Coturnix japonica: one gene and its partners. The protein of the gene in region 3 interacts with the protein of the main gene of each other region in a biochemical or structural test. Links are inferred from orthologs where the notes say so. Each region holds a gene or a part of one and is shown on either strand. Other genes may lie near its edges. The genes, in order: RHEB, RASD2, RAF1 and PEBP1.

Region 1 (7,952 bases), on a different chromosome or scaffold from region 3:
AGGGATTCCTGTCTCCCCAGAGCCTGTGCTTAGAGCGGTGCAATGGATCTAAATGCAGAGCTTCGGCTTTTCATAGCTTAGAAATGGCAGGATCCACGTTTTGTTTGGTTTCCCCTGCCAACAGTAAGTCTCAGTTGAGTAATCAAGTGGCAAAACGCTCCAATTGCCCAGCAAAGCCTGTGAGTGTTGCCATTAGAAGAAAGCAGAGCAGGCAAACAAAGAGTTAAGACCAGAGCAATGTCCTCACATAACCCCGCTGCTGCCGTTCCTGCGCTCCCAGCCACTGCCATCAGATCACTGCAGAGCACAGCAGCACAGTCCCGCGCCCTGGAATGCAATGAGAGCTGCTCCAGCCAGCAATGCTGCTGCAGCTGTAAGGAGGGAAGCATTAGGAAGGGCTGCTGCCTACAGCTCAGCACAAACCGCCACCACAGGCTGCATCCCGACCTGCTCCATCTTCCTGCTCAGCCTCACAATTCCCTGCATCGCAGACAGTGCTGATCCTGCACACTGAACTGCGTCGTGCCACAGCGCCCATTTCTTCATCCCTTCCCACCAGACGGCCACAAGGGCTGTGTGCTGCCTCCCACATCACCCGGGGACAGAAGGACCCCTCACAGGGTGCTGTGCTACGAGGCCATCCTTCACAAGAGACAGCAAAGCTTCAGCCCCATTTCATAACACAAGCCCAGTATTCAAGTAACTCTCGCTCTCAAAGCCAGGAAATACTGCCAATAACTACAAGCCCATATTAGAGATACGGCAGGTGATTCAGTTCAGCTCCAGTTGTTTTGCTACTTGCCTACTGCAATCACAGACCACCGTTTCTGTCTGAGAAGTTCAGCATGGGCCGCTTTCCACCTACACAGCATAGGAAGCTGAAAGGTACACAGGTGAACCAACCTGACTCCAAACTGAGCAGGGAGCACTCCCAGCTCACCTGTCTGCATGTTCCTAAACACCAGCAGCTGCAAAAACACAAATGATGTTGAGATAACAGCCTGGTACTGAAACACCTGATCCAAGGGGCAACTCCCTGCTCACCTGACATCACAGAATGGTTGGGCTGGAGGGGACCTCAATGCCCATCCAGTCTGAATGCCCACCATGGGCAGAGCTGCCCCCACCAGAACAGGTTACTCAGAGCCCATTTAACCTGGTCCTGAGCCCTCCAAGATGGGCCAACCCCGCTCTGCTTTTCAGAGCGGACACTGATCTGAAGAACCAGCGACCACCCAGACACCCATACCTTAGTGTTGGCTGAATCATATGCACAGACCCCAAACGTACATGGAAATAATGAATTACGAGCAGGACACAATGAGGGCAACGTGATGATTCCTTTTAGTGAAGGCTTTGTTTTATAACTTTATGAAATCACACGCTCCATCACACACAGGGCAGCCTTCTGCTGGAATGCTCTGGTCACTTCACTGACAGCAGCACTCAAATCCCTCCCATTAGCAAGCTACCGAATTTTAAGCTAAAAATCCATCTGATTTCTATCAGAACCTTAAGGAGAACAAGCACGATTACATAACGCAACGTAACTTGCTTTTTAGATCCATTCAAGCACAAGCAACACTCAAAGATAACGTTCCTGTGTGGTTGCTGTTTAGCTTCATGCCACATACATGCAAACTATTGGCCTTCCCCACTAACAGGTCCTCAGGTTCCTGGCAATGCTCCTCCACATCTCCCTGCCCCAGGCCGTGGGCTGCTGGGATCACTCCCACAGCAGAACACGCTGCGTTCACACAGGAAAGGCTGATGGCAGTGTTGAAAGATAAGAGGGAGTGGATTGAAACAAGCAGGCTCCTGAACCTTCTATAGGAACAGCCATGAGAACAGCACTCCCAGGCATTGCTGGGTTAAGGGTATGGTTTCATACAAGGTAAAAGCAAGGGCTTAGCCAGCAATACACTCAGACTCGTGCCTCATAAAGCCTCGTGGGGCACGTGGCTGCCTGACACCGTGCGTGCTCAGAGCCTGAGAGAGCCACAAAGCTGTCGAATCATCAGCTGCAGGGAACAGCTCACGGCCCGAAACGTGTCAGCTCGGTTGTTTCAGCACAGAACTGAAAGAGAATGGAGAAAAGGTCGCCATTTTCTAATCTCATGCTGTATATGCAAATGATAAGATCACCCAACCCCACAGCCCAGGTCACCTCAGCATTCACTCAAGGCACAGAGCTGGAAACATTTCACGGTGTAACAGAGCAGCCTCCCAGACTGCAGGGTCAAAGCTAACGTTAAGGTTAATGGCAGTTCCCTATTTATAAAAGGAAGCTCAGAAGCCTTCAGCAGCCCTTCAGATCTTGGAATTAATTATCCCCCACCCCGACAAAAACTAGCTCTGTTCAAATGTAACATCCCTTATTTCATCTGGGATGGGATCCTGTCTTTTACCCAGGGTTCAAGTGGAATTCATGCCATCGTGATATCAGACTTACCTATAAGTCTATCTGAAGCCAAACCATGCTGTTAATTCTCCTGGACTTTGCAAGGCATCCTTGGGTTGACTTCATGTCATGCTCTATGTTTCTTGTTTATCTGACAGCCCTACATGACAGAACACCCAACAGCTCACGTCTATTGCTGGATCTTTTATGTAAATATTTGCCTAGAAACGTAAAGCTCCCATACTTAACTCTGTGGCTTAAACATGCAAGATTTATACCTAAGAACAAGCAAGGCAACAGAGTTGTCATGGTTAATGAAAGGCAAACTATTACTTCTCTTCTGTATGTCTACAACAAGCAGTTGTCCTAATGGAACAGACCATGTCCCACAGAGCCCCAAACCACATCAGTCTCATGAAGCTGCAGGTGAAGGAGCACAGTAGTAAACCCTAATGGGCAGGAGGCAACTTTCTGCTCACCTCCTTCTATACAAGCACCAAATCATCCTGGGTCACACCAGCAATGGCATTAATAATGGCTATGTGCAATGTGTGCTGTCAGGCTCAATGGATCATCTACCCCTGGACCATCCAATGTACTGAATTGACAGCGTTCCTCCTACCCACACACACTGCCCAGTGCTTGTTTGAGTCCGGACTCGGAGAAGAAAACATAAGGAGACAAGCTCCGAGGCTGACTGTGCCGTATTAGACACCCCATGTGAACCACCAACCTCCTGCAGGCTGCTCCCTTCCAGCACCATACAGACACAGCACTGTTTATCCAGCCTTGAAGCCAGGCTGCTGCTACACACACAGCATCTAAACAACTCATGTAACCTTTTTTAATCTTGGGAAAAGCAAAAGGCGTTGTTACGGATGCTGAGTGTGCGACCGCAGACACACCACTCACAGCACAAACCCTTCAGCAGCACAGCGGCACCTTCCTACAGCAGTTTATTTCCCAGCCACTCGTTATCCTTCCCATCGATCTACGCTTTTAAGTCAGATCGATGCCGAGCCGCACCGCTCCATTCGTGCCCCACGACGCTGAATCTGGTGGGGCTGTAGAGCAGCTCCCGGCTTGGATGGCGCCGGGAAGTTCTTTCCTTCAGTGTTGCCGTACGATCACAGAATCACAGAATGACCCGGGTTGGAAGGGACCTCAAGGATCATGTAGTTCCAACCCCCCTGCCTGGCAGGGCCACCAAACATACACCTTTACTAGATCAGGTTGCCCAGGGCCCCGTCCAACCTGGTCTTGAACACCTCCCAGGACGGGGCATCCACAACCTCCCTGGGCAGCCTGTTCCATGGCCTAACCACTCTCCTAGTGAAGAACTTCCCCCTAACATCCAACCTAAATCTTCCCTCTTTTAACTTAAAACCATTTCCCCGTGTCCTGCTATTGTCAGCCCTTTCCAAGAGTTTACTCCCCTCCTGGGTGTAAGTTCCCTTCAGGTATTGAAAGGCTGCAATGAGGTCACCCCGCAACCTTCTCTTCTCCAGGCTGAACAAACCCAACTCCCTCAGCCTGTCCTCATAGGGGAGGTGCTCCAGCCCCCTGATCATCTTCCTGTCCCTCCTCTGGACCCTTTCCAAAATCTCCCATGTCTTTTTTGTACTGAGGGCTCCACACCTGGACACAGTACAACAGATGGAGCCTCACAAGAGCCGAGTAGAGAGGGACGATCACCTCCCTATCCCTGCTGACCACCCCTCTCCTGATGGAGCCCAGGATCCCATTTGCTTTCCGGGCTGCCAGAGCGCACTGCTGGCTCATGTTGAGTCTCTCGTCCATCAGGACCCCCAGGTCCTTCTCTGCCGAGCTGCTCTCAAGGACAACTCCTCCCAGCCTGTACAGGTGCCTGGGGTTCTTCCTGCCCAACTGCAAAACAGTGTTGAACCTCATTAGGTTCAACATAACCCCCGAGCCCAGCTTTCCAGCCTGTCGAGGTCCCTCTGAATGTCACCCGTTCCCTCCACCGTATCGACCGCACCACTCAGTCACTCCCGATCCCGGCACCGCAGCGCTCCGTACGTTCATCCTACACGTCTACAGACAGAGGAAACGGGCACAAAGCTCCGTACACCCCGCTGTTCCCCCCCCCCGTCCCGGTGCCGTCCCCTGTCCAATTAAGGGCACAGTCTCACGTTGGCTCCCGGGCCCGCAGCGCTCTGCGGCGCCGCCATGGCGCCTCCCGGCCGCACTGCGCGGGGCCCGGCCCAGCCCTGCACCTGCCACCCACCCACCCACCCGTTCCCATTTCGTCTCCCCCCCCTTAACACTCACCTACGCTCCTGTAGCCCAGGATCGCGATCTTACGGGATTTGGACGGCGGCATCTTGTCCCCCGCCCGGCCACGAACCACATCAAGGGAGGAGGCGGACGAAGAAGAGGCGGAGGGCGGCGGGAGGCTGCGTGTGCGCCGTCAGCCTCATGCGGCGCTGGTTGTTGTTATGGGGGGGGGGGGGGGGGGGGGGGGGGGTTGGAGGGCGGCGGCGATCGATGGGCCGAGAGCGCGGAACCCGCGGCGGCAGCGCCCGTCCCCTCACGTAGCGGTGCGTCACGCGTCACAGGCCGCAGCGCAGCACGGACCGACCGACCGCCCCCACCGCCAACACCGCGCCGACTGCCGGCTGCACAAACCCGCTGCGTCATGCCGGCCCACCTCACGCCCCGCCGGGCGCTGATTGGGCAGTTGCTCGCGGTTAGAGGGCGGGGATTGGATGAGATCGGTTTTCAAAGAAAGGAGGCGGGGCTAAGGGGATGCGTGGGAGGGGATTGGTTGGATGGGGGTTAAAAGCCGCGCGTGCGCCGTGGTGCGCCTCCAGACGGCGGTTGGGTTGTGGGGTGTGAGGGGCTGAGCGGGGCGGGATCACCTCAGTGTGACTGTCCTCCACAGGAAGGAGTTAGTCCTAACCTCAACATGAACCTCTACTAGTGCCATGGGACCATCTTATAGGCTTCATGGAGATCACCCAGCTGCAATGCCCTGCCATGGTTCACAAATGGTACCTCAGCCCCCAGATCAGGCCGCCCAGAGACCCCATCCCACCTGCCCTATAACCCTGTGGGTTACGGGATCTCCTGCCCTACAACCCTGTGGGTTACGGGATCTCCTGCCCTATAACCCTGTGGATTACGGGATCTCCTGCCCTATAACCCTGTGAGTTACAGGATCTCCATGGCTAAGTAACCTGTATCATAGCACTTCTACTTGGGATAAGTCTTAGTGCTTTCCTGCCGTGCTGAGGTTGTGGCTTCCCAGCAGCAGCATTAGCAATAGGGCTTCCCCTTTGCCCCTCCCCAGTGCTAATCCAGCATCTTCATTCCTAGAGTGTTTTACCCTGTGAGCTACAAAGGAGTTCAGAGAACGCTGCAATGAGTGACTGACACCAGTACAACCAATCGTTGGTGAGTTATAATCGTTTTATTATAAACGACATCCCAACAGATGCGGTCAACGAATGCAATGGTCTGGGTTCCAAAACAAAGAGTGCCGGCACAAATAGAGCGTGTATATACACTGAGATCAGGAACAGATGTTGAGGCTGAGAAATGGGAAAGCATCGGCCTTTTGTTGCCTGTGTCTGCGATGAATTTCCTCTAGGAAACGTAACCCAGCAGTTCAATGTTTTTATGGCAATTCAGTGCATACGAACCCATGGACACAGCGCTACTCAAGTTCCAAATGCAAAACACATCTGGCTTGTACATTCAGTTCCTATAAAAGCAATTAGCACTTTAATTACCTGCTCGATCCTCTGGCCAACCAGCACCTACTGGAGGAGCTATTTGAACTGCACCCAATGTTAGCACTGGGTGTGCTCCCATATGTATGGCTGCCCACTGAGGTTAGAAAGTACACTCAGTTCCATCCCACACTTGTCCCTGGCCCCTCATGGATTCGACAAAGATCATCTTTCTCTAATGTCTGCTTAGAAATACTGACAAAAGCATCGTCTGCAGAACATTCTTGTTTTGCATAACGCACGTGATGTGGATCCAAGGGTACTATGAAGCTATTCAGAATGATATTTTCTCCTGTAGGTTACCCTTAGCAAACATTAAATGTGGGAGGTGTGAAGGTTCTGAAGCAAACTGGCTGCTCCTGAGAGCTGGGCACGGACAGCCCCTGTTGTTCAGCAGGATTAAGCACGCATGGTTTCACCTCTGCTTGGACCGAAACCGAATGACTCCAGCTTACCCTGAACTGAGATGAAAGATGGCAAAGCGTGTTCTCTAAGCAGTTTTGGAACTGCTTCAGTCAAAGTCTTCGCCTGCTGGGAGGACAAGAACTCGAGCCTTGGAAAGCAACGTTGGTTCTTTCTGCATTACCCAAACATTCCCAGCGGAGCATTACTCCGTAGGACTGGCGATGAATAGAGACTCAGACTCAACAGTTGCAATTCAGTTGCTAGTAAACAGCAAATACCGTCTGCAAGGCTTACAGACCTCAGATCTTTGAACTGAAAGGAATCCAGAAGTAAAACGACATGAAAGTGTTTTTATCAGCCAAACAATCTGTGTCAGCAAAGGACGATTTGCCAAAGTAATGAGCTCACGGCATCACCAGATAGTGCATAATACCGAGGGGCTGAGCTTCATTAAAAGAATAATGGCAAGCATAGTTCTATGAAGGCTTTTCCTTGTACTTAAACACATCCACAGCAGCAGGTCAATAGCAAACATCGTCACACCTGTGTTAAGAAAGGGAATTTGGGGCAACACTGCTGAGCTCTCAGTTCTATAGATACCATAGATACCACTACATATAGATGTAGTCTGTTCTTCCCTAGCGAGCTACATGAAAGGGAAGCGTCCTAGATGAAAGCTTGAGGTGCTGAGGAAACAGCTGTCCATGGTTCTTCTAGCTCTGTGTCCATAACACACACAGGGCACTTGTAATAATGTTAAAACAAGGGACTCTTTGCACGCTTGTTTGAAAACTGCAAATTCATTCTGGCTTCCTGCATGCTAATTTATGCAGACAGGCACAACGCTGTCTGGATGGAATAGGGCCAAAAGACTTTGCGCTAAATATAATGTGAGGGGAAAAAAAGCATCTATCAGTGGCTCAAACCTAACGTAGGTCTGAAAAATGCTGTTCCTGCGGAGTGAGATGGAGGGCTGCATTTAGGCAATTCCATCCCATACCTTCTAAGGAAGGCTGTAAATCTGGTGCTGGAAGAGCAAGCGGGCTTACAAGAAGTCACACCTGTGCAGCTTGGATGGCGTTTACAGGTAGTGCTGACCATGTGAAATTCCAACCTACCACCAATAATCCCTTTCCACACAGCTCACGGAGCACAATCTCTTGCAGGAAGCGAGATCTGAAGAAAGGGCTTCCACAAACACCAAACGGAAGTTGGAGGGTTTAATTTCTTCCATCTACCATTATAAAAGTCTCATCGTCAAACGTTACAGTACATTTACAGCAGCAAAACCCCAACGGCCTCCCTCACATCCAATACAGAGTTGCATTTGAGTCGTACAGACATCAGTTGACACATCAACACAGTGGGAAGCCTGGTTCTCTGGCACGTCC
Region 2 (8,136 bases), on a different chromosome or scaffold from region 3:
AAAGTTTTAAAAAGTTTCAACATTGGGATGAAAATGAAAGGATGCGTGCATATCTGGTGAGTAAATCCAGATGTGCTGTCTCCTCAGTGGTAAAAAGAAAAGAGAGAGCTCAGAAATGCAGTCCTTTCTCCATAATATTTCATGAAAATATAATTTAAAAATGATTCATAGCAAATGCAGCAAATCAGAGGTGATCTGGATGCTCTTCACTGCAAAGTAATGTTTTTCCATTTTGCAGGGATCTCAGTAAACATGATTAACCCATCTCACACCCTGGGACACTGAGAAATTACAGATTCATAAAGAAATGTGGATAGTTGCCCTTTGAAGAGAATAAGAAGACAAGCCAGATCACCATTTTCTCAAATGTGTGCCTTCTCCATCTGTATTCTCCCAAAATGAGCTGCTCTCACTCATAGATGATGATCATCACCTATTTGCCTGCACCCCATAACACCCCCTGGAGGAGCTTAAATGCCCAGGGAGTACCGGTAATTCAGGGGGCAGCACTGTGTTTGCTCATCTATGTGCTGTTCAGAGCATAATAACTACCTGCAGCTGAGTGGCTCCTGAACGCTAACTTTCCAGCATTGCTTGAATGGAGGGGCACCACGAAGGAGAAGTGAATGTAGGAGGGAGGGAGGGAAGGTGAGGGGGTGGAAAAACAAGCCTGCTTTACTGAATAATGAGGGGAGTGAAAATGAATGGGAAGAGAAAGAGAATAGCTGGTTTAAATATTTAATCTCTGTTGCATATGCTTTTGAAGAGGAGACAAAAGCCGTGGAACATCTTTTGTCTTGAACTAATTCTGACCAGAACTTAACAGCATGTGATTGTCACTTCTGTCGTTTTCCTTAAGGTGGAGAGAAATGCATTGGTCCTGCTGCATCAGCCCATTGTATCAGTCTTCATCTCCAGCTGCAGCTAGCATTGGGAGCTGCAGAAGGGACAAATGGCTCCAGATAGTGGCCCTTCTGCTGCACGAGTGTGCACTGCCCAAATGCTGATGCTGGCAAGTGCACCAAGCAAGCAGGCATAGCCTCTGGTAGTCATGGTGGTTCCTGCAGCCACAGCCTGCAATGCTCTGAGCCTGCATTAGTCACATGAGAAACTCAGCTTGGATTTCTTCATACATGGGATGAGCAGGAGGAATAAGTGCCTCCAGAGCATATTTCATTGTGTGTCTGACGTCTACATTAGTAAATAGCTACAAGCTCTAAGAAAGTTTGATGGTCTCCGATTAACCAGAGAAAACTGCTGAGATGGGGAACTTTTCCTCTTCTTCTTCTGCAACACTGCTTTGCTTATTCCCTTTTCATCCCAGAAAGCAGAGAGGTGCTGCCATCCCTGCTTCCCAGTGAGCAAGTACTGAGAATTAACCTTACTTCTCCACAAGGTACCCCAGGAAGCCATGAGAAAAACAGATTGAGCCCTAAGGGAAGCCTTGGCCTTTTGTAAACTGTTGAGCACACTCAGGGGGAAAAAAAAGAAAAAAAAAAAAAAGAAAAACAAAAACAAAAAAGGCAAAAAAAACTCAACAACAAAGCCACAGCAATATCAGTGAGCCTCTGAAGACTCATAGTCAGCAATTATCTTTTGGAGGCTTTCTTTAAAAGTAACATTACTAGCTATCTGCTGAGAGACCAAATAATGCCAAGATGCCTAGCTGAGAATGTTCCCTTCCTATTTTGATGTGCTTAGAGGAAACGGAATGGCCAGCTTAAATGCTGGAGAAGACAACTGAGTGGGAGTCTGGGCTTGGTGAAGGCAGCTAGGCAGGAGTTTTGCACTTGGTTTACAAAGATCTTGAGTAGGCTGAGATTCCAGGCTGATGAGATGGTCTCTACAATGACTACGCCTTTTTTTTTCTTTCTTTCTTTCTTTTTTTCTGGCAAAGAACTCCAGTTCTTGCAAGCTGTAGACATGAAAGAGGAGTATATTCTCTGTAGCAGTATAGGACTTGAATTCTATGCTAATTTTGTCATCAGCAATTCTTCCTGTGGCAATGACACCAGCATGCTGTTTACTTAGTTTGTATCTGAGACACAGATTGCAGTCCAGTCACCAAAGATGATACCTTTCAGTGAAGGTTTGATCTGAACCAATGACTTAGGAATGAAAAGCATCATATCTTATTTCTATGTGAGCTGTAAAAACGCTTATCAACTTTGTACCAAAGAGAAAAGACTCGTGTTGATAAAAAGAGTTGTGGTGTTGTGGTCTGAAAAGAGCTGAGTTCAGATCATGACCCACTAGCAGTTCACTGGCCCCTGGAAGAAGCCAGCAGTATTTTGGTGGTGCTGTGCCAAGTTGTGCTCTTCCTTCCCAAATGTGAAGCTGTCTGTACAAGGCAGAAGCCAGGAGCTACTGCTCCCCAAAAGAAAAGAACCTAAGGGATTCCACCAAAACGGCACACATTCTTGTGGGTATTCTTGAGGGGAAACATGATGAAGTTGGAGGATTATTTTCCTTAAAGAAGAGTAAATTTGCTCAAAGAGAAAGTGAGAGAAAATATTGAGAGACTTGAAACTACGAGTATATTTGGATTTGAGATACCTCCCTTCTGGGTTTGTTTTTTTTGCGTGTGTTTTTATTTTTTGTCAAAATATCTTGAAGATTTCAGTGCTTTTCTTCCTTTTATCCGATTCAAAGTTGTCAGTTGGCAATGCTGAAAGACTTCATTTTAACTCTTTTTAAATGATATATTTTTTTTCATCTTTTCTAATAGACGTTACAGTCTAAGCTATTACTTCAGCTCAATAAGGAGAAAAGCAGAGTTAGCAAACGATGAAATGAATTGCAAACACACTTCTTTAACAAGGGCAGAGCAAACTGCCTGAATTCAATCTAATTTTCCTTTATTTTCTGATTTGTCTGCCTCCCTACGGTGCTTGTTTAGCTCATTTAAATATTAATGAATTAACAGCAGTCACACATTACCCTTATTTCTTAATCAGACCAACCAGCAGTCCCAAGAGAATGATGCTGAGGGTGAGGGAACGGGAGACCGTATTCCATATGGCAAAAGAGTTACAGGAATTCTGGACAGAAAGCCCCTTCTCGGGAAATGAGTCAGTCCACTTCTGCCTTGCAGAAAATATCAGCGCTGAAGTATAGAAGCAGCCTTTAGAAACAGCTTCTGAATTGGTGGCTGGCAAAGTGAAGTCTCTGTCTCTCATACACATCCACTAACCCTCTCCCTACACATGAATGCATACAGGTCTCTGGTGGGAAGAAAAGGAATGCACAGCCTGGAATGCATATGGACTTTCTGTTCAGGAGGAAAATATATATATATAAAAGATTTTTCAACAGGCTCAAAATCCCACCCCCTCAGCACCCCTCCTTCCCCTGTGTCTGACACTGACTTCAAGGGAGGAGTTGAGCCAATTATCTGTGAGTCCTACAGAAGGGAAATCTGCAATTTGCCAGTAGTTGTGAGAGCCAGGGAGAGAAAGGCAGGGGGGTGGAAGGAGAAAAACTTAATTGGCAAATGTAAAGAAAAGCCCCTTCTGTCCTCGAAAGAGAATAGAACAATTCAAATCCCAGGTCAGAAGAAAAGAAGCTTGTGGGGAGGGGTGTGTGTGCAAGGCAAGACCTGAGGAAGCGTAGAGTCACGGTAGATAACTTCCATGCCCTCAGTGATTTTTTCCCATAGGGTCTGAGGTGGCATAGGGTGAATGAACCCCCAGCCCTGCAGGACTAGGTGTTGCTCCAGCAGAGTTGCCCAGAGGAGAGACTCTGCCTCTCCTCCTCACCTGAGGCTGGGAGCAGAAGAGCTCGTCTCACGAAAGGAAAAAGCTGCTGCTGGTCTGGAGACCCTTCTTTAGCCCTGATATAGTCATTGCCTTCCATGGGGGGACGTCCTCTGGAGCCCTGCAGTCCCTCCCAGTCCTGCTAAGTTCCCAGGAAATACCGGTGAAGAGCTGAGCCCTGAGCAAGCAACGTGGGATCCTCAGAACAACAGCCTTCTACAGCATAGCTGCTTCTGATTAAAATTACCAACTTCATCAGACTACACCCAAACCCGGGGCTGCTCCTCCAAGGAGAGAAAGGTAAGAGAGCAGCACGGAGTTTGGGATAGCAGTGGGAGACAAACATCCCAATGGAGTGATCTGAGTGTGCATGGGAACTGAGGGGTACTAGTGGTGACTAACAGGTGGCAGGTCTGTTATGCAGTTTGCATCTGCCTATGTTGTTTTCAGCTGGATGCAGTGAAGTACATTTGGATGGCAAATTGAAGCATCAAACTGTAGCTAAAGACAGTGGAGTGCAAGAAATGTGCTCTGGGAGTGTGTTCTTGAATGGGAAGCAGTGGGGAGGATAAGCAGATGTCACTGATGGGAGCCGGGATGCTTGGGTGGAAAAGCTGCTGGCAGGTTCAATGAGGAATGTCTTCCTTAGGTAGCTCTCTCCAGGTGCTCAGAACTAAACCTGGCAGCACCTCACTGGAATTTAGACAAGTGCTTTTCGGAGCGAGGAAAATCAGGTGCCTTGTCATTTGTTCTTATGTGCATCTTCAGAACAGGCAGCGGGGGGTCAGCAGGTAGAAGATGCGGGCAGTTCAATGAAACAAGGCTTGATGCTGATTTTGGACAGCTGTTTCATTTCTCTATTGGCATGCAAATCTTTCCCTTTATTAACTGGAGATAATACTCACTGCCTGTATTTCTGTGGCATTCTGAAATCCCTTCACCAATATAAAATACTAACGCAAAGTTTCTGCCATGGAGACAGTGCATAAAGAAAAAGGTACCACTGGGAATTAATCTATGCTTAAGCATTTAATAAACTGGAAGGAAAAGATGTAGATTAAAGCCAGCTGGAGGTTGTTTGCCTCCTCATTCTCTTCTGATTGATTTTGCTTTATTTAGTACATGAGCATGTGGCTCCTTTCTATTTCCTTTCCTCTGTCTTTAATCTTTTTCAATGTACGAGTCCCTGTGCTGGGAGCAAGGGCTGAAGTTTCTTTCCTTTTGTGAGGAGGAAAGAAGAAAGATTGCGCTGAATTGGAGAGAAGCTGAAGTGGTGGGATAAGGAGAGAGCACAAAAACAAACATAAGCTCCCGGCTCAACGGTATGCTCTGAGTCAGATTTGCAGCAGAGGTGATGAGATGAATAGAAACTCCAGGAATCAAAGAGCTGAAAAGCTCTGTTAGACTCCATGTGAAACAAAAAGCAGTCAGGAAAGCACAGGAGCCCTCTTAACTGAATGCCTGGACAGGCAGAATGAGGACAGCATTGAGTGACTATTTAATACATTAAAATCTGCATGTGCTTACAGCCCTTCCTCCTCAGTGCATGTGCATCTCTGGTGCAGAGCGTCCTGAAGTGCACGCACCTGCAGATAGGATTTTGTCTTTGATGGAGGTAGAAGGCAGCATGATTTAGTGGCCAAAGGTGCCACAGTGGCAGTTCCTCCTCCAAGGTGTTTGGGGTACTGTGGCATTAGAATCAAAGAACCTCTGAGGCTGGAAAAGACCTCTGGTCCTACAGTCAACTCATCACCACCATGACCACAAATTAGCTGAGGTCCAAGGCAGTGAAGTCCATGTCAAGGAGGAAGACAGAAGCACCTCTTGCCCTCAGGGTGCAAAACCAGCCCTCCGAGCAGCACAGAGCTCAGTGCTTACCTGTTAGAAAGCAGTACACATAGTAGGAGTCAGACAGGAGTGCAGCTATACCAGTCTCTCCCAGTCTGAGGAGCTGACTGATTTCTAAGCACTGAGCACAGGCTGTAGAGAAGTTGGTGTTTTTTTCTCATAAAATCTATCTCCCTGCTTTTCTCTGTCAGCTAAATATAGCCTGAGAGGTCGAAAGGAAGTATCCCAGAGCTGTTCTGTTGACATTCATCTGGCCTGTGGATTCATGACAGCATTGGACTGGCCATGTAGGATAGAGCCACTGCACGTGGAAGCGTTGTTTCAGATTAAATTTGGTGTTTCTGCGATGCTGGAGATGGGTCCTATTCTAAACAAAGCAGTTCGATCCAAAACAGGCGTGCTCCTTGCTGTCATTTCAGCAGCACCATATCTGTGAGTGTGTGTGTTTACATCCAAAGTTATAATCGGACATTACTGTCTGCCTCTAATATTGTGCAGCCCTGACCTCTGTGTGTAATTTAGACCATAAGATACTTCAAGGAAAGTGCTGCATTTTCTTCCATGCTTTATATAGGGATAAACGCGCTGCTAGCAAATGATAGCAATAATCATAAATAGTCATGTTTTGCTGTTGCCTCAGGCTATAGCACTTGTAATGATTCTGGATTAGAATTCCAGAGACTCCTTTATTTAGCAGTGGCCGTATCTTCACTTCTGCTTTGGTGCTTTGCACATGTTAAACAAAGTCAAAGATTTTAAGCTCTTGACTGAGATAAGTGTCAGCTGCATAAACGCTTGGGAGATAAAATACACTCGAGGGAAAGGCAGGAATCCAGATCTGAACCCAGAGATGATATTTCAGTGTACATAAAGTGCTCAAATTGTAATATTAAGTAAACAACACCTAAGTTAAATAAACGGCACAGTGGGAACTTGATTATTCTTTAATAAGATCCTAGTAACCAAAATAAACTCTGCCCAAAATGTGCTTTCTTAGCTTTAACATTAGCTCTCCCCACACTGGGGTTGTATTTTTCCTTTCAGTACACTATGTATTTGAAATAGCACACGTAAAAACGTCTGTGCGACCCTCCTTTTTATTTCCCCATCAAAGTTTCCCGTATCTGAGTACTGCATCTAAATATGATCTCCAAGGTCTTGAGACACATTTTTTCTTGTCAGGGGTTGGAAATCTTGTCAGATAGTAATTTAAGATGGCTGTCCTTTGTTCTTTCTCTTCTTGTACTTAAATGCTCAATGATTGTGACACTCACAACATCTGTGTACGTATAAAGATTGAAACTCCTAAGAAATCTTCATTACTGCAACTCTATCCATTGACAGTCGTCCTACTGCAAGGCAGTGATAATTGCAGCACTGATAGTTTCTTGGTAGGGAGTTCCCACACTGTCAGTCCAAGCAGCTAGATGAAATTCTGGTTTCTGAAAGGTCACAGAAGGCGCAGAATTTATCACTACTCAATGCTATTTTGTGTCTTGAATTCCTCGTGTCAGCAATGTAGGCTATACAGGACCAGCTATTTAAAATAACTGAGATGTCTAGCTTCCACAGATGTCAAACGTGATTCGGGCTTCTGTCTGACTTTTGGTTGATCTCAGAAAATGAATGCTGTGAGCAGTTCCTATTTAGGCAACCAAATGAAGTGGTCTAGGTCCTGACGACAGCTGCAGTGGATACAGTACATTAGGAAATTTGATGGTAACCTCAGTGGGTGCAATATATTAGGAAATCTGACCTCTGTGTTTATGCATCTAAAACAGAACCAGAACTGAAAAATCTGGTAATGTCTAAGTGACGCAAATGATGGGAAGGAACCTGGTGTCCAAGTTCAAACGCAGCTGATAAAATTAGCCCTTAATGCTTAAACAAAATAGCAAATTACAATTAAGAACCATGCTATATTCAGTGTAAACATCAGAGTACTCTTTGACCAACTAATGGTATGGAATGTCCCTGCTCTGTCCTCCACACAGTTTCTTACCTTTCCTTCAACTTTGCCATTCCCTCATTCAGGTCCAAGCAATGATGAAGACCATGTCCAGTGGAAACTGCACCCTGAATGTGCCAGCCAAGAACTCGTACCGCATGGTGGTGCTGGGAGCCTCCAGGGTGGGGAAAAGCTCCATAGTCTCACGCTTTCTCAATGGCCGGTTTGAGGACCAATACACTCCCACCATTGAGGATTTTCACCGCAAGGTCTACAACATCCGGGGAGATATGTATCAGCTGGACATCCTGGACACCTCAGGGAATCACCCTTTCCCTGCCATGAGAAGGCTTTCCATCCTGACAGGTGAGAAAGTGAAGAAAGTTTGCAAACAATGGATTGAAGTTTATAATAACAAAGTGTAGCTTGAAAACTGTATCCTGGAGATGAGTGTTTCTTGGGGATAAAATGCATTTGGGAGGCAGCAAAATGGGCTGTGGGATTTCATTGCAAGATTCACTTCTCCAGAGAGATATTTCCTGGCTGGTGTGCTTCCTAATGCTATATGGAATGCGCTAGCCGCAG
Region 3 (7,441 bases):
TCAAGCACAAGTGTGCTAATTGAAATACAGTGGTAATTTAAAACAATGTAAATTCAATTTAACATAATGCTGTGAAAATTTACAACATGGACTTAATGGTGCTGGATTCAGAGTATGGATGGAGACAGAATTAGCAGTTGTGAGATTCAGATTTCAGCACTGGCAACGTGCCTTTGTTTTCTCAGTGCAAAAACAAAGAAATCTGTATTTCACACTCAGTTCTTGTGCTGGTAGATAATCACACAGCCCCATTAAAACACTTCCATTCTTCTTTCTGCATTAGTGTCCTCCTATAGGACTAACATTTTGAGAAGGCAGTAACAGCTGTGAGGAACTTACCATGCCATTTGCCTTTGTAAACAGTTCCAAAAGAACCTGACCCTATCCTGGTAGAAAGCATGACTTCACTTGCTTCTATTTCCCAGTAATAACTAGAATCTCTTTGTCCACGAGGCCTCTGCAACAAAAATTGACATAGCTTGACATTAGTACTTAATCAAATGCATTACATGCATATACGCTGACATATATGCCAAGAAGGAGATATCTTTTTTCCACAGAAAAATGAGATGCATCAAAACCCTGAGGGTTCTGTTCTGCAGTCTGAGCTTTTGTTTTTCACCTGAATCCTGAGGGGAGGAAGGGGCACCTCACAACACCGGGAGGTGTAAGAAAAACTCGATTTCATTATTTCCCAAACTTTAAGTAGTTATAAAGACATCATTAAATTCTGCTCTAAGATATAGACTCTGATCTGAGATCATAACGAGTAATTAGGGATTCTTTATTTATTTGCAGGTACCTTAAATATTTTAAAAAATTAAAAAGAAAAAATCTCAATAATGAAATTCCAGCACTCCAACATATTTGAAAACAATCAACAAAAAATACGAGAGCAGAATTTTCCAACATCCACAGTTTATAACTGGGAGCCTCACTGAGCAACTGCGCTTATAAAAAGTCAAATAACTTCCATGTACTTAAAGCATAAGGCAGTAGTGCTCCCATTCCCAAGTTAGATTTCTATCACTGTGACACACTCAGTGCAGAGCAGTCAAAGAAGATTTCCACCAGCTTGCATTGTCTTTGAAGTACAATATTTACCCCAACACTCCATTATTTTCATAGAATTTAACATACTGGATGTATTTACATACAGTAGTTCAAAAATACTTACAATTTTGTTTTTTTCTTGTGTATTGGTTCCGGGTGCTCGCTCTCTCTGGGCTGGGACTGGGGTTTTGGGCTGAGACCAGCCAGTCGGGCTCATATTGTTAGGACTCCCAGACAGAGCAGAGGGTGAAGCTTACGTGTGAAAGCAAAAGAAAACGAAGTTACAAACCATAAAACAAACACAAAATATGATTATAATACTTTATTTTTGGAAGCCATACCTGATTCACTATGGTTTCGAATTGCATCCTAGAACAGAGAAAATATCAACAGAGTTAATAAAGTATATGACAGTATGTAAATGAACAAATAGAAATAAATGTGTTGAAATAGTTCTTCACAGTTTAGACCAAGTGCTGTACACTACTGACCAAGTCCCTTTAAAAGATGGCAGCTTGGTTATTTTCTAGTTACAAGAATCCTATTTACTTAGGAAAAAAAGACAAAAGAAAACCAAAACAACCCATGCAACTGGCAAATACTTACAGCACATTAAAAATGTTCACAGCATATTGAAAGGTATTACTACCAAAAAAAAACCAACAGAGGGGGGAGAAGACATGGAACAAGAATAAACGTGAGAAATACTGTCTCTGTTCCCACCCCTCCATTGCTGTTCATGCTCGTATGATCTGAACACTCCTGTGATGGCCCTGTGTCTCCAGGGGACAATTACTTAAAAAGGTTCTGGATTGTAAATAGGAAAACTTTAAATCCCCTGAAATATTCCAGGTCAATAAGCATTTAGAAATAGCATGGTAGAGGTATTTCAACACATAATTGACTACACCTTCTGCTCTAACACAAAAACATCTCCATTTCAAAACAAGTGTTTTCCACAGAAGTTTGATGATGGTTGAAAAGCACGTTCTTACACAGCTCACTACTTGGTACAGTGCGACAACTCTCACCTCATGCCACAGGCACTTTACAACACAACTCTACAGCCATGCACAAGATAAACTAAGCTCTGACAAACATGACTATACAACTTTTCTCACCTGCTATGCATTATCCCAAAGTACAAACAGGAAACGTAAAATATCCAGGTACTGTATAAGTACAAAGCAAGAACATGCACTACAGAAATGTTAAATACTGTAGAAGTTAATAGAAGTCAATTCAAACTTTCTAACTAATTAGTAGAATAATAAATGTAAGACTTCATAGGAGGACAGAACAAGCCTATATTCCACTGTATGGCTTTCAAATTAGCCCAGAATTTCCTTACTAATGATTCATTTATGGAACACATCATTGTTGCCAGTTAGCCGTGTTCTCCCAGGCTTGAATTCTAAATAGCACATTCTTGTAGAGCTCCTCTACTCTATGCCTGAGTGAATTAAAATCTACATAAACTACCAGAGAACTCCTACAAATTACTACCTTTGTCCGGTCTGAGGACTGAAAGTCTTTTTCAGAATCTACATTAATAACAAGTGGTGGTTTTTCTGCTCTGGCCTGAGAATGTAATTTCTTTCAAGCAAGCTGGTAAAGAACCACTAAATAATCATCAATTGCTCTCATAGTTAATTCTTAAGGAATTGTTACCTGAGGGGGGGGGCGGGGGGGGAAGTATCTTTGCTGACCTTCAGTTCTGGCTTGAATAATATTTTCCTTTTTCTTATTGATCCTATGGCAAATACACCCCAAAAAGTGTTTTGGTTTTTTTTGGTTTTTTTTTTTTTTCAACACAAATGACACTACACAGCAGTGCTGCAGTCTGCCACCTTTGCTCTGATATGAAGTACATCAGATTCTTCATCTACACTTCTGCACAGTTAAATTTAACAAAATAGTTTCCAGTGGGAACCTGTCACACAAGAGATGTATCTGAGAATGTTTTATACCTCAAAAGCTGTGTGACCAAGCAGATCTCTAATCCAAGCCTGTTCAAGTGCATAACAATTATCACAGCAGTACGGCTCTATCCATCTCAACTAAAAATGAACCCTATCAATTTGCCTCTTCCAGGTGTTGTCCTCGATATTTATGTACACACATGCTATAAAGATTTTCATTAAATCAGCTCCAGATTAAACACTTCATGTGGACACTGCCATGGCTTACAAGTTACAGCAATTCTGTTAATCACAAGAAAACAAAATGCACCAAGAAAATACCTACTCTTCCCCTCAAACAAAATCGTCTGCACCAGGAACTGGGAGAAGCATTCAGGCTGTTATTCTATGCCAACAGGGTAAGAGATAACAGAAAGAGGAAGTATAAAAAAAATTAAGAATGAATTGTTAGGATAAAGGAAAGAAAAAGTAACCGAAGTTGTCTGGCACATCATAATTAAGTGCAGGGAATATATAAATAACTATTCCTGTTCAAGAAAAACATTACACGAGTATTCAGGCTGATTAATCACCTTACTGAGGTGACTTTTCTCATATCATCCCTTAATGTACTTGCTATCTGTGTTGCTGGTTGCTTTTTTTAAAGCCTACTGGAAAAGCAGCTACTGCCTCTAAGCCAGGGCAGCTATTTTATTCAGTGCACTATGATAGGCAGAATAGAAAGCATTTCCTTCTCTACTGCTATGCATTAAGAATAAGGAAAGAAATATCTCAAACACTTATCACACTACCAAGTTTATTAATTCATATTCTCTTTCTGTAAGGCTTCATTTTGGTTTTCTGCCATAGAAGACAGTAGTTCAAACCTCTGTGGTAGGGGGGCAGGAGCAGACAATCTTAGCCTGTAAGGAGGTACCTCTCCCCATAAAATCCAGCTACCACAATGCTTCTAATCAAATAACGGTCACAGGGTTGCAGTGCACTTCATTTCACCTCACTGAAGATGCAGAGCAATTCTCTGGCACATTTAGGAGAGCCTTTACATTTCATAGAAGCCTACAGGCTACCAGCTGAAGGAATAAGCCAGTAAACTCAGAAGTCAAAGGATTTTGTTTGGCCAAGGACTTCTTAAACTTATTTCAGGAGGGGCAGAGGGCAGTACACATTGCTCTCTGAAATCCTGCTGCTCATCACTTACTTTCTGCAAGCCTTTCCTGCAAATCACTCCCTTACACAAACAAACAGGATTCTCTAGCCCTTACTTCCAAAAACTCTCACTGTTTCCAGTGTAAGGACCCAAGCTAAGGGAAACAAACAAACAATAAAGGGATTACTGCAATCAAGTAACAGCAGAAGTATTTTCAGATAGAGGTGGCTTTCCCATGAGCCACCAGTTCTATAAGGGTATAGTGCTACTGTGCTACAGTCAGCTTTCACTTGAACATTCAGGCTCTGAGAACTGCAACCAGACTTACAACTCCTGCCTCATTTTAAACAGCCATCAGCCCCCCGCCCCAATCCTAAAATGTAAATTTCAAAGAACATTTTGCAATATCTCAAGTAACACATGTTCCGAAAAGCTGAGCTTGTTCCCTTTTCAGATCTGTGGAACTTACTTATTAAGCCTCCCTCATGACTTCAAAGACACTGAAATCTACCTAGAACTTTAGTGAAGTTGATAAAGATTGCAAGAATGAACTACTAACTTTCCAGGCAGATGTGCCACCTATATATCCTTATCACAGCCTGTTAAGGAAAAGAGTACATGAAATACAGAAAAAGAAAAAACACCAACCAGTGACTATTAGATAGTCACAAATTCAGTGTAACTGAATGATAATCCATCCTCACCAATATTACCTCAATTATCCGGCTGTCGACTGGCATTGTAGTGCTAACCATGTGGACATTTGGTGTGGAAGTAGATCGCTGTCTTTGGGAAAGGGTGCCCTCAGAGGAAGGATTTGATGTGTTGAACGTAAAGACATGAGGTGTAGAATATCTGTGCTGGGAGCTAAGAAGAAAGAAAGAGAGAAACTTGTGGTTATTTTTTTCCCCTCCTCTAGCAGTCAAGAAAATACTCTTCAGTGTAATCTACCAAAAGCAGGAATATACATGAAACTTCACACATGGGGAACGTTGGGATTTACATGCTAACTAAACTATCTGGTCAGCCAAACCACTCACACTTTAACTTAGGAAATAAACTGAAAAACTTGGCATACTGATCTAACACATTTAAGCCTACTTCTGCCATTATGCAATGTGCCACAGTTCGCCTCAGTCCCCATTAAATCACATTTAATATATTGATAAATTACTGGCTCTGTTGGATTAATTAATTCAGGCAGTTAAATTTAAACCTCTCATTTCAAGCTTATTAAGTGAACAGCCTGAAAGGTACTTTTTTATTGCTTAGCCCTGAGTTTTTGAAGCTTGCAAGACTGTTCAAATTCTCACACAGAACAGCCAGCAAGGAAGTCATGAATCCCAACAGCTGTCAGGAGGCCAACAGTGAAATCCAGCTCAGGGAAGAATTACAAATTACAGCTAACGTTAATCAAACCTCACTTATCCCAAATAACACAAATAGCTCAACCAAAACCAGACAGCCTTCACAAAAACAACCAGCTACCTAATCAGGAAGTCACTGCGCAGTAACACTAGAAACAGACTAACATGGCAAAGAGAACGTAAGATTAATTATTGATGTAGTTCCCAGTCAAACAAATAAATAAATAAATAGAACCATTTGCAATCAGCTACGTGCTCTGTGCCTCATTCCTGAACAGGTCAACGTTTTTCAAAGGGATGTGGAAAAAACAAAACCTGGCCTGCCCTCTGCAGCCTCTAGGATTTCAAGGAAAAGAATACAGGCACAAATTATCATCAGAGACAGGCTGCTTTGGAAAGAAACCGATTTATATTCTAGCAGTAAAACTACAGGGATGTTCTTACTAATCAGGTCTCAGAACTTTCTGTAACGTGAGCCTATTTTCCATTTCTGCTGCTCTCTTTAATCTCTTCCCTACAGCCATAACGCAGGACGTTATTTTAGTTAATGCATGTGACTCACACACAAGAAATAAGCTATAAAGCCTTACATGTATGCTACGTGATCAGATGAAATAAAATTCACACAATACCAAATCTTCTTAGGCAGGTAAACAAAGGTCTCCACAAAACGTTTAATACCCTCACTTAAAATCTTAAGACTAAACTTTAAAAACATAAATTCCACAGTTGATGCTTTGTTTGATGCTGTAAGAATTGACACTAGGTATTTTCTGTGATGAAGTGCTGTTGCCTTCTTGCACGTTTATGTCCTTCTATATTCTTCTATTTTCAAGGAGTTGGGAGCGTGGCTTTTTTTGTTTTTTAAACAAGTGTATTTCCCAAAAGAGAAATGACAGGAAATACTAGCTTACCTAACAGGTATCCGGGAGACAGACTCCCGCATCCGTCTCATTGTCAAGGGAGGTAGTGCAGGGACACCACTGTCACTGATATTTGAATTTGGGAACAATCTGAAATATCAACAAAAACAATTACAATTTCAACTGCTACACTACCTCCTGTACAATGCTCTTAAAACTGAGGATCTGAAGGGCTGTTGCTCGGCACAAACACATCCCCAGTTCCTGTATTTCCACAACGTTTTTTCTCTGTATGGTACAACTAAAAGCTGCATCATCAGATCCTCACAGAGAATTTTCATGTGTTCTTACTAAACTTAAGACTTCAGAAACAACTCTGCAAAACTTCAGACTTTCTCAACAGGATCTATGAGACTAACATTTAACTTCTATTAAACTCTGGTAGCATCAAGTGATGCAATCATCCTAAATTCTGGTTGCTCATCTCATCACCTACGTGACCAAGTTCAGTTATTAAAAAAAAATAATACAGTCACTAATAACGATACAAACACATTCACAGGTTTCATCTGTTTTGCATGCAAGAACTTCTAACAGCAATTTTCAACTTTCTCTAATCAGTATTTTTTAAGTATTACCCTTCATCAGTTTTCTCAACTTTCTATTCATTTTCAGTGGCCTATCAAGAGCACTGATACAAACATTCATCTTTCCAACAGGTAAAAATCGATTAAGTCATCAATTCTTTTTCTTCTAACTGAAGTATTGTAATAAAGAGGAATTAGGATGCCTTCCCATGCTGAATCAGAAGGGCATTACAGCACCTGCCTGATCATTCAGTACATTTGTTGGTTTGTCTGAGAATACTGAAATCCACAGCAATAACAAAATGCATTTGATCGGCCTTCTTCGCCTGGGAACAGACAGTCATTGCTGGCTGTTTCATGAAATCAATACACGTGTTCTGTAAACTGATGAACAGCACTACACCTCCCAAAGATCCACATACATCTCTATGGTAAGATTTTAAGAACAAAGGAAAACAACCAGAGCCCAAGATGGTTGTCTGTCACGGGGAACAATTGTTGC
Region 4 (8,215 bases), on a different chromosome or scaffold from region 3:
ACCTGTGTTTATATCGACAGAGGACAATGGCTGGAGGGCGGCCAGTAGAAATATGGCAGAGGAGGAAAGCAGCCCAGGGGGCTGGGGACGCACAACCATTCCAACATAAACCCAGCCCCAGTAAACTTAAGCTGAGCAAGGCACTAAAACCACTGGTTCATCTTCTCTGTTCATGCCACAAGTGTGAGTGTTTGCACAGGTGAAAATGTTGGTGCACGGGGATTTGTCAGCCCAAAATACGACTCAACAACAACTGTGCCATGCTACATCTCACCTGCAGGACCTCTGTCACCTCTGCACAGCCAAATCCTGCCAGTCTGCCTCATTTGCATCCCTCCCCTGCTGCAAGAACCAGCAAACCTGGCTCTGGAGGGCAGAGAACGATCAGGGTACCTGTCTGCCCCATCATTAATCATTAATATGGTGAGGAAACCAACTTACTTATCTCCACAGAGCATGCGGGCTCCTCTTGCTCGACAACGTGGCTCCCGACACACTTGAACACTTTGCGGTGGGAGAGGTGAGAGCTGTTCAGTGTTTCCACGTGGGTGTCTGAGGAGCTCGTAGAGCTGATGAGCCAGCTGGAGTTCTCCAGATCGTGCCCCTCTTCTCTCCAGTGCAGGGTGGGGTGGGGATGCCCCCCGGGCCAGCTGCAAAACAGCTGCAGCATCAGCCCTGAGGAGGAGGTCTCAGCCCAGCACTTCGGGGTGGACCGTGGTGGATCTATCAGCAAGAAGGGCACAGAGTTAGAAACAGATCTGAGTCACCTGGTGTCCCGGGCTGGAACCTCAGCAAAAGCTTGGTTTTGCAATCATTCTCCTTGAAGGTCTCCATGGTTTCCCTGCCTGTGTTTCTCCCTGACCTGTGCACCACTGCCTCAGGGGAGCATAACTGAACGACAGCCAACAGGGACAAAGCAGGAGGCTGCTCTGCAGAAAGTATCACAGCAACCACTAGAATACAGGGGAAGGACAAATTTCTGCCACAGCTTTATCTGATGCAGAACAGCTGTCACTGCAGTGTGGGGTCACACTGCCTCACTCAGCCCCTTGCTGTGCTACGTTCACATCACAGCCCAGCGGTGGGGACAAACTCCATGAAAAGGAAGGTGGGTAAAGCACTGCTGGGTTCAGGCCAGGGCCAATCACCAGGTAACCAGGACTGCGTTTGTTATTTAAATACAGAAACAACTAACGGCAGGATGGGGCAAAAACCCATAGAAACACAAGAGCAGTCCCCTCGGGCAGAGCAGAGCTCACATTTCATGCAGCTCCAGTTCATGGCTCTCCCCCATCATCTGGTTTCTGGGGCTGCCCAAGAGTACGACTTTGGTGGAGAAGCTGTAGCATATACACACCCATACACAGATACACACACGTGTTCTTTTAACAGCCAGAGGGATTCTGGACTCTGATCCAGGCAGAAGTAACACATAGTGTCCCTGCACTAATTGCCTGCTACAGTGCTCAACAAGACCTTACTGAGAGATGCTGCTACAGAAAGCCCCAACGAAGAGGTGTCAGAGGGACGAGTTATGCTTATTTTGTAAAGCATTTTTCAAGTCACGGGAGAAATCACATAATTTGGATTAAAGGGCAAAAAAAAAACACGGCAAAAACCCATGTGAGCTGCAATAATACCTTCTCGAGGCTTGGCTTCCCAGGAACAATATACATGCACCTTTTATGATCTCTGAAAACAGCCAACTGTGGCTCTCTATGGCACAAATTGCTCCTATGGCCAACAGAGAGCGTGAAAGAAAATGAGTATTTACTTCTAATGTTATGCTGATAAGCTCCAACTTCTAGCCTGTGCTGATGTTGCTTCTACTGACCTTAAGCATCACTAGAAACCTCTCTTCAACCTGCTTAAAGAGACCCCAGTAGTACATACCACCTTTGTGACCTTTAACTGACAAGTCACACATTAACAAACCCATTTCAGAGAGTGGTACCAATGCTTGGCATGTCCACAGAAGATCACAAAGAAGAGCCTTAGCATAAAGAAGCCTTCAGACATCAATTAGAGAATGTTCAGATAGGAGACTGGGAAATGCTGGTGATGGCTTTTGCTCACGAGCATTTTGCTTTGCTGCTCTAGATTTAAGGCTCCTCTTTCTAAGCTCCAAGCCCACAGATTCTCTATAGTAGCCTAAGGTTTGATTCCTTCAGTCCAGCCCCCATGAGCCTCCAACCCCATCTGCAGGTTTCTCGCCCCAGGAAGGGAATTTTCACCTGTGTGAACGTTCAGAGATTTAATCTGTACAGAACAGGTACAACTTTTACAACACATACCCGTCAACAAGCTCCGACAAAGAAGCAACACCCTGAATGCAAACAGAACACAGGCATCACTCTGCAAATGTTGACAGAAAGATCAGCAAGAAAAAGAAAGACCTGGTAAAGCACAGATTGGCAACGAAGCAGAACTGGCAGCAGCCTTTCGCTCTTCCAAAACCCTATGGTTGGCACGGAGGACAGCAGGTCATAGCCCAGGTCTGAAGGCCTATGAAGACTTCTAAGAGAATGGATAAGGAATGGAAATGGGACTCATGCAACCCAAGGGCAGAAATTCAGTCATGGGACAGACTTACTGGCTACCAGGAGCTGAACTCTGTGCTCGTGGTCTGTCTTGTTCAGCACTTCCTTACACGTGTAGTTGCCCTCATCCTGCAGCCGCAGCTCCGAGATGCGCAGGGAGCTGTTGTCCACCAGCGAGAAGCGAATGTCTGGGGGGAAGGCGACCCTCGAGGAGAAGAGTGGGGGAAAAGAGTGCGGGTCCCCTTGGAACCACAGCACCTCAGTGGCCTCCTTGGAGACATTGCGGCACAAGAGGAGGATGCTGCCTCCCACCTTCCCAAAGACTACTTCTGCTGTTCCTGCAAAACAGAAGGGAGAGCGTTAGGGATGCGGGAATACATGGAGCCCTTTTCCTCAAGCTCGTCAAGTCCTCTGTCCAAGTGGAACCCAGTGCAGAGAGGGCCTTTTTGAGTCCAGCCCTGCTGGAGGTGGATGGGGATTAAGAAGGGAAAGGTGATTTAGGAAGCAAACCGCTCGTATTCCTGCCGTGCCTCCCGCTGCCATAGCGCTGCACTGAGGTACCTCATGCCGCCCCTCAGCCCGTACCTGCAGCGCTGCGGAGCGGCACCTGCGCCCACCCCCAGAGCGCGAGCAGCAGCCCGGCCCGCACCGACCCGCCGCCGAACCGCATCGCCGTCCGCCTCCACCGGCGCCTCCCGCTGGGGCCGGACCCGCCCGGGGGCGGTGACGACCCGCCCTCCTCCCTCACCTCCCGCTCGGGTTCCCGGTCGCCGCCCCGCTGAGGGGACACCCCGGGGGCCGCCCGCCGCCATCTTGGCCGCCCCCCGCCGCCATTTTGAGCGCCCCCGGCCGCTGCCGCCATGTTGGGCGCCCCTCCGCTGCTTTACGACCATCTTAAACCACCTCCGGCATCGCACAACGAGGAAAGCGGGCCGGGCCGGCTCGGGGGGAGGAATCGGCTTTATGTGGAGCCGAGCAGTTGCTGCCTGTGCCAGAAATAAGGCAGTTCTCTGCAGGGCCAAGGCCGAGAGCTGCTCGGGGCGATCGGCGCAGCGCCCGCTGGCAGCCACAGCCCACGTTTACAGCTCGTCTTGGGACACTGTGTATCGTCGGGGATTAACAGCCGTGTGCCAGCTGTGTGCTATAAACTTTATTATCCCTAAGCACCGGCCAATGCCCTCAAGGCCGCCCGCCCCGGGGCAGCGCAACGCACCGCCACCACTTGGGGGCGCCATAACGATGGGAGCCAATGGGAGCGGAGCGCGGCGTCGCCGTAGCCAATAGGAGCGGGGCGGGGAAGGCGGGACGAAGGGCTGAGGTGATCGCGCGGCGCGGCCGTCACGCAGCGGGACGCGGTGTGAGGAGGAGCCGCCATGCCGGTGGATGTGGGGCTGTGGGACGGGCCGCTCAGCCTGAGCGAGGTGGAGCAGAAACCTGCGCAGCCGCTGCGCGTTAAGTATGGCCCCGTGGAGATAGACGAGCTGGGCAAGGTGCTCACCCCCACACAGGTGAGGTGGGGGGTGAGGGGGCCGCTCAAGATGGCGGGGGGCGGCAGCGGAGCCTTCGGGGCTGTGGTGAGGGTGGAGCGGGCCGTGAGGTGACGCTGTGGGCCCTGCAGGTGCAGCGCCGACCCACCAGCATCGAGTGGGATGGATGCGACCCGCAGAAGCTGTACACCCTGGTGCTCACCGACCCCGATGCGCCCAGTAGGAAGGATCCGAAGTTCAGGTAACGGCGTTTGGTAATTTCCTGTCTTACCTGCGGGGAACCGGTCGTTGCTTTTGGACCGAGCGGCTCGGCAGGAGGTGGGAAACGTGCTCTGCCCTCGGATCTCTTGTATAGACCTGGGCAGCGGCTGCTTATACAGTTTCTGCCAGGGCGTTGAAGGGCTCCTGTAGGTGGTAGTGGCACAGATTTGCAGCTCGTGGTATGTGCAGGAGTTGGAATTAGGTCTGTCAGCGCAGTGTGGGAGCAGCTCGCCCTCAGCTTGGGCTCAGGAGCACACGCAGTGCTCACTTACCAGGCTTGGAGGTGGGTGCTGGTGCTACAAGGCAGGATGGAGCTGCCCGATAGGCTCCGAGTCCTGCAGCAGGCACTGAGCTCCCAGTCCTCGTTGGGTTTAATGAATTAGAAATGGCAGTGGTTAGCTTTGGTTATCCTGCACTGACAGCAGCAGAAGGTCGTGCCTGGGGGTTGTAGTGCAGCTTTATTGTTAGTTTTTTAACCTTCTTTCAGGGAATGGCATCACTTCCTGGTGACCAACATGAAAGGTAACAATGTGGGGAGCGGGACCGTGCTGTCAGACTACGTGGGCTCGGGCCCCCCTAAAGGAACAGGTGGGTGCCTGCATGCATCAGTCCCAGTGCCTCGGGCCTGTGGTGGTGTGGGTGGGTGAATGTGGGCTGGGAGGGAGGACACAGTGCTGCAGAAATGGTTCACGGGCCTGCCTGCACCTACATGCAAGCCTGGTCAGGACTTAGCAGCACCACCCCTTCTGTATTTGCTGAGGGGCTGCACCTGCATTCAATAGCCAGGAGGAGTGCAGGTGTGGCACGAGCCATTCTGGTGCCTCAAGATGTCTCCTTTAAGCTCGTTTAGCTCAGTCAGACTTATCCTGTATTGGCTGCCAGCAGCCCTTGGGTGGGCACAGGTTTCTTTCCTGAGCTGGGGTCACTGCAGCCCCAGAAGGTGCACTTGTAATGCTGTCTCATCCCTGCAGGGCTGCACCGCTACGTGTGGCTGGTGTACGAGCAGCCGAAGCAGCTGACCTGCGATGAGCCCATCCTGTCCAATCGCTCTGGCGACAAGCGAGGGAAGTTCAAGGTAGCTGCTTTCCGCAGCAAGTATGGGCTGGGGGTGCCGGTGGCTGGCACTTGCTACCAGGCAGAGTGGGATGACTACGTGCCGAAACTCTATGAGCAGCTGTCTGGGAAGTAGGGAGAAGGGGCCTGACCAAGCACTGTGCTGCACCCTCCATTCCCCTAAGCATTTCTCTGTAGTTTTGTTTGCCTGGTGAGCTGAGAACCCAGCTGCTCCTGCACCGACAACTTGAGCTGTAACCTGAACCGTATCCCCAACTATCTCTGTGAAGTGAATCTGCTTTGGTGTCAGAGCGGTCTGGCTGTGCGTTGTGCTTCAGCTGACTGCTGGAGGTACAAGCCACAGCTGGCTCAATCAGCTTCTGAAAAGCTGGTGCTGCAAGAGCTGCCCCCAGGGCTGCCCTGCCCAAGGGAAGTCCTAAGCCTTTGTGACTCAGTACCACTTCAGTGTGTCTCTACTGTGTTAAAATGGTGTTGAGCAGCAGTGTGGGTACAGAACCACTTCTGGCTGCGGAGCCTTCTCTTTCCAGGAGGGGAGAAGGCAGCAGTCTGTAAAGGGAAACTGCATTTTTTCCTCTCCTGCAAGTATTCGGCCAGTGCCTCCGCTAAAGTGAACCACTAATTAGTAGAAAGAGGCATTGATGCTGGTTTATAGCACTACTTTCTGATCTCTGTTGCCATTCAAAGCTGAGAGGCTTTGCTTTGCTCGACTTGTGTTGTGATCTGGTGTTTGCTCACAGTGCAATTAAACACTTTGCAAGGTGGATGGACGGTGTGGTTGTCTTCTTGGAGGGGAGTAAGGAGGGGAACACTTACGGGAGCAGCGTGATGTAGCAGGGCTCCACTCCTGGTGTTACAGACTTGAAGGTGCATCCCAACCCTGCTGCAGGGTTGCACTTGTGTTGCTGCGAGGCCTGGTGTTGTTTCCTAAGCATTTCAGGCAGGAAACAAAGCAGGACTCAAGGCTTGATTTTAACAAAAAACGAAGCCAACGTGACTGCTTCACAGGACCAGAAGCCTTCCTCCTGTCAGTTGTTTCACCATCTCCAAGGAGCTGTTTTTTAAGGGGTGTGAAAAACATACATGAGTTACAAACCTCAACACCTTGCAGAAATCCAGGTTTCTTCACACTTGGCCCCCAGGGCAGCCTTCCCAACTCATCACTGAAGCTCCATACCTGGAAGGCAGTGGGACCTCCACCATGGTGCCAGCTGGTGGCACAAGCAGAACAGGGACAGTGCTAACACTGCTGGGACAGCTCCGAGGCTCCTGGAAAGGAAGTGTCTCAGGAACACCCCAACTAAACACAGCAGGATAGACAACAAGACAGCAGAGGGTGCAGACCCTGAGAACTTGGACTGAAGAAGGGCATAAGATAAAGAGGTGAGCATCAATCTGAGTCCGCCCCCCTCCCACAGCCACGAGCCACTCCTCCCCCAATGAGACAGCGAGGCACTGTGATGAACACTTTTATTTACAAATATAATTAAAAGCTCTGACAGTTACTCATGCTCTTCCTTTGAACCTGAAAAACATCTTCTTGGTGGTGGTGGTGATGGTGGGAGGGGGGGGAGGTTGTTTTTTTTGCTGTTTTCTTGTCTTCGTTGCTTTTTTTTGTCATTTTTCTTTTTCTTTTTTTTAAAGTGCATGCAAAAGAAGTAAAGCCTTTTTTTTATATATAATTTTCTTTTTTTTCATTTTTTATCTTTTTTTTTTCTTTTTTTTTCTCTTTTTATTGTAAGAAAATACACAGTTTGAAAGTGTGAGGAATGCGGAATTAATGACTGAACTCATGGGAGGCCGGAGGGGGAAGTTAGGAGGGGGGGGGGGTAAGGAACAGAAAGGTTAGAAAATAAAATGGAACCACCCCCCCCATCAACCCCAAAAAGAAAAGAGAGAGAAAAGCAAGGAGTGGGGATGGTGTGACAGTGCTGAACTGCAGGGACTGAAAGCGAAGGGGTTGGAAAGGAGGAGGGACGGAAAGGAGTAAAAAAATTTTCTGATCAGAGAAAACAGTTAAAATACAATATGAAAATAAGTCAAAGCTCTCCTTAAATTCCTTCTATACACAAAATACACGATTTGACAAAGCCCAATTTTGTGCTACCAGGATCGCGTGGGCTCTTTGTTTTAAGTGTAGTCAACATCCTCTGCGACAGCAGAAAATGGTTCTGATACAATCAAGAGTTGGCCGAGGGACGGGGGGGCTGCCCCGCCTGGCACGGCGCTCCTACAAAGCACCGGGTCTCTGCCCACCCCCCACCCCCACCCAAGCAATAACATCCCACCACTGCTATGTACAGCACGACTCACGGTTGGTTGGGGTTTGGGGGGGGAAGGATGAGGGGGGGTTGTTTGTTTTTTTGTCTTCCTGTAAAACGTATCAAATAAATTTTTTTTTTGTTTTTTTTTTTTTCCTGTTTTTTTTTTTTGTTTTTTTTCAATCTTTAATAAAACTTTTTATTATTATTATTTATTTATTATTAATTATTATTAATTTCATTATTCCTGATGAATAAATACCCCCAAAAAAATAAGAATAAAATAAAAGTTATGCAGCAGCTGGTTCAAGGTAAGGCTGCGGATTTCGTCTCTCTCCCCCTGGGTTTGTATCTATCACTTCTCTTTTTTTGCTTGTACCTTTCAGAGGTCGGTGGATAAAACCCACGTCATTGATTGCTCCAAAAGCAACAAACATCCACATGGGGGCGGATCGGTCTTGTTTTCTCTTTGCTTTCTCTCCATTCAAATCGTCTCCAAAAGTTTGTTTTTTGTTTTGTTTTTTTTATCAACTGAAACATTTCTTTTTGTTTTTAATCATTGCACAGAGACATCGAGACTGTGACGTACTATGGG

What was found.
Region 1: the proteins of RAF1 (region 3) and RHEB form a complex in vitro, tested with the Homo sapiens proteins (3 studies listed by BioGRID and IntAct). The link is inferred for Coturnix japonica from reciprocal best matches to the Homo sapiens genes RAF1 and RHEB.
Region 2: the proteins of RAF1 (region 3) and RASD2 form a complex in vitro, tested with the Homo sapiens proteins (2 studies listed by BioGRID). The link is inferred for Coturnix japonica from reciprocal best matches to the Homo sapiens genes RAF1 and RASD2.
Region 4: the proteins of RAF1 (region 3) and PEBP1 form a complex in vitro, tested with the Homo sapiens proteins (3 studies listed by BioGRID and IntAct, with this or other methods). The link is inferred for Coturnix japonica from reciprocal best matches to the Homo sapiens genes RAF1 and PEBP1.

The regions. Positions count from the first base shown.
Region 1 is NC_029517.1:5,597,541-5,605,492, forward strand, and holds the start of RHEB (GTP-binding protein Rheb), read right to left. Parts: upstream 5,036-7,952; 5' UTR 4,746-5,035; coding exon 4,694-4,745; intron 1-4,693. UniProt on the Homo sapiens protein: Small GTPase that acts as an allosteric activator of the canonical mTORC1 complex, an evolutionarily conserved central nutrient sensor that stimulates anabolic reactions and macromolecule biosynthesis to promote cellular biomass generation and growth.
Region 2 is NC_029516.1:47,547,928-47,556,063, reverse strand, and holds the start of RASD2 (GTP-binding protein Rhes), read left to right. Parts: upstream 1-3,373; 5' UTR 3,374-4,055; intron 4,056-7,637; 5' UTR 7,638-7,646; coding exon 7,647-7,917; intron 7,918-8,136. UniProt on the Homo sapiens protein: GTPase signaling protein that binds to and hydrolyzes GTP. Regulates signaling pathways involving G-proteins-coupled receptor and heterotrimeric proteins such as GNB1, GNB2 and GNB3.
Region 3 is NC_029527.1:3,328,074-3,335,514, forward strand, and holds part of RAF1 (RAF proto-oncogene serine/threonine-protein kinase), read right to left. Parts: exon of another isoform or gene 7,072-7,441; intron 6,503-7,071; coding exon 6,404-6,502; intron 4,990-6,403; coding exon 4,836-4,989; intron 3,361-4,835; coding exon 3,301-3,360; intron 1,423-3,300; coding exon 1,395-1,422; intron 1,306-1,394; coding exon 1,178-1,305; intron 458-1,177; coding exon 340-457; intron 1-339. UniProt on the Homo sapiens protein: Serine/threonine-protein kinase that acts as a regulatory link between the membrane-associated Ras GTPases and the MAPK/ERK cascade, and this critical regulatory link functions as a switch determining cell fate decisions including proliferation, differentiation, apoptosis, survival and oncogenic transformation.
Region 4 is NC_029530.1:8,782,936-8,791,150, reverse strand, and holds PEBP1 (phosphatidylethanolamine-binding protein 1), read left to right. Parts: upstream 1-3,837; 5' UTR 3,838-3,913; coding exon 3,914-4,048; intron 4,049-4,158; coding exon 4,159-4,268; intron 4,269-4,775; coding exon 4,776-4,876; intron 4,877-5,259; coding exon 5,260-5,477; 3' UTR 5,478-6,125; downstream 6,126-8,215.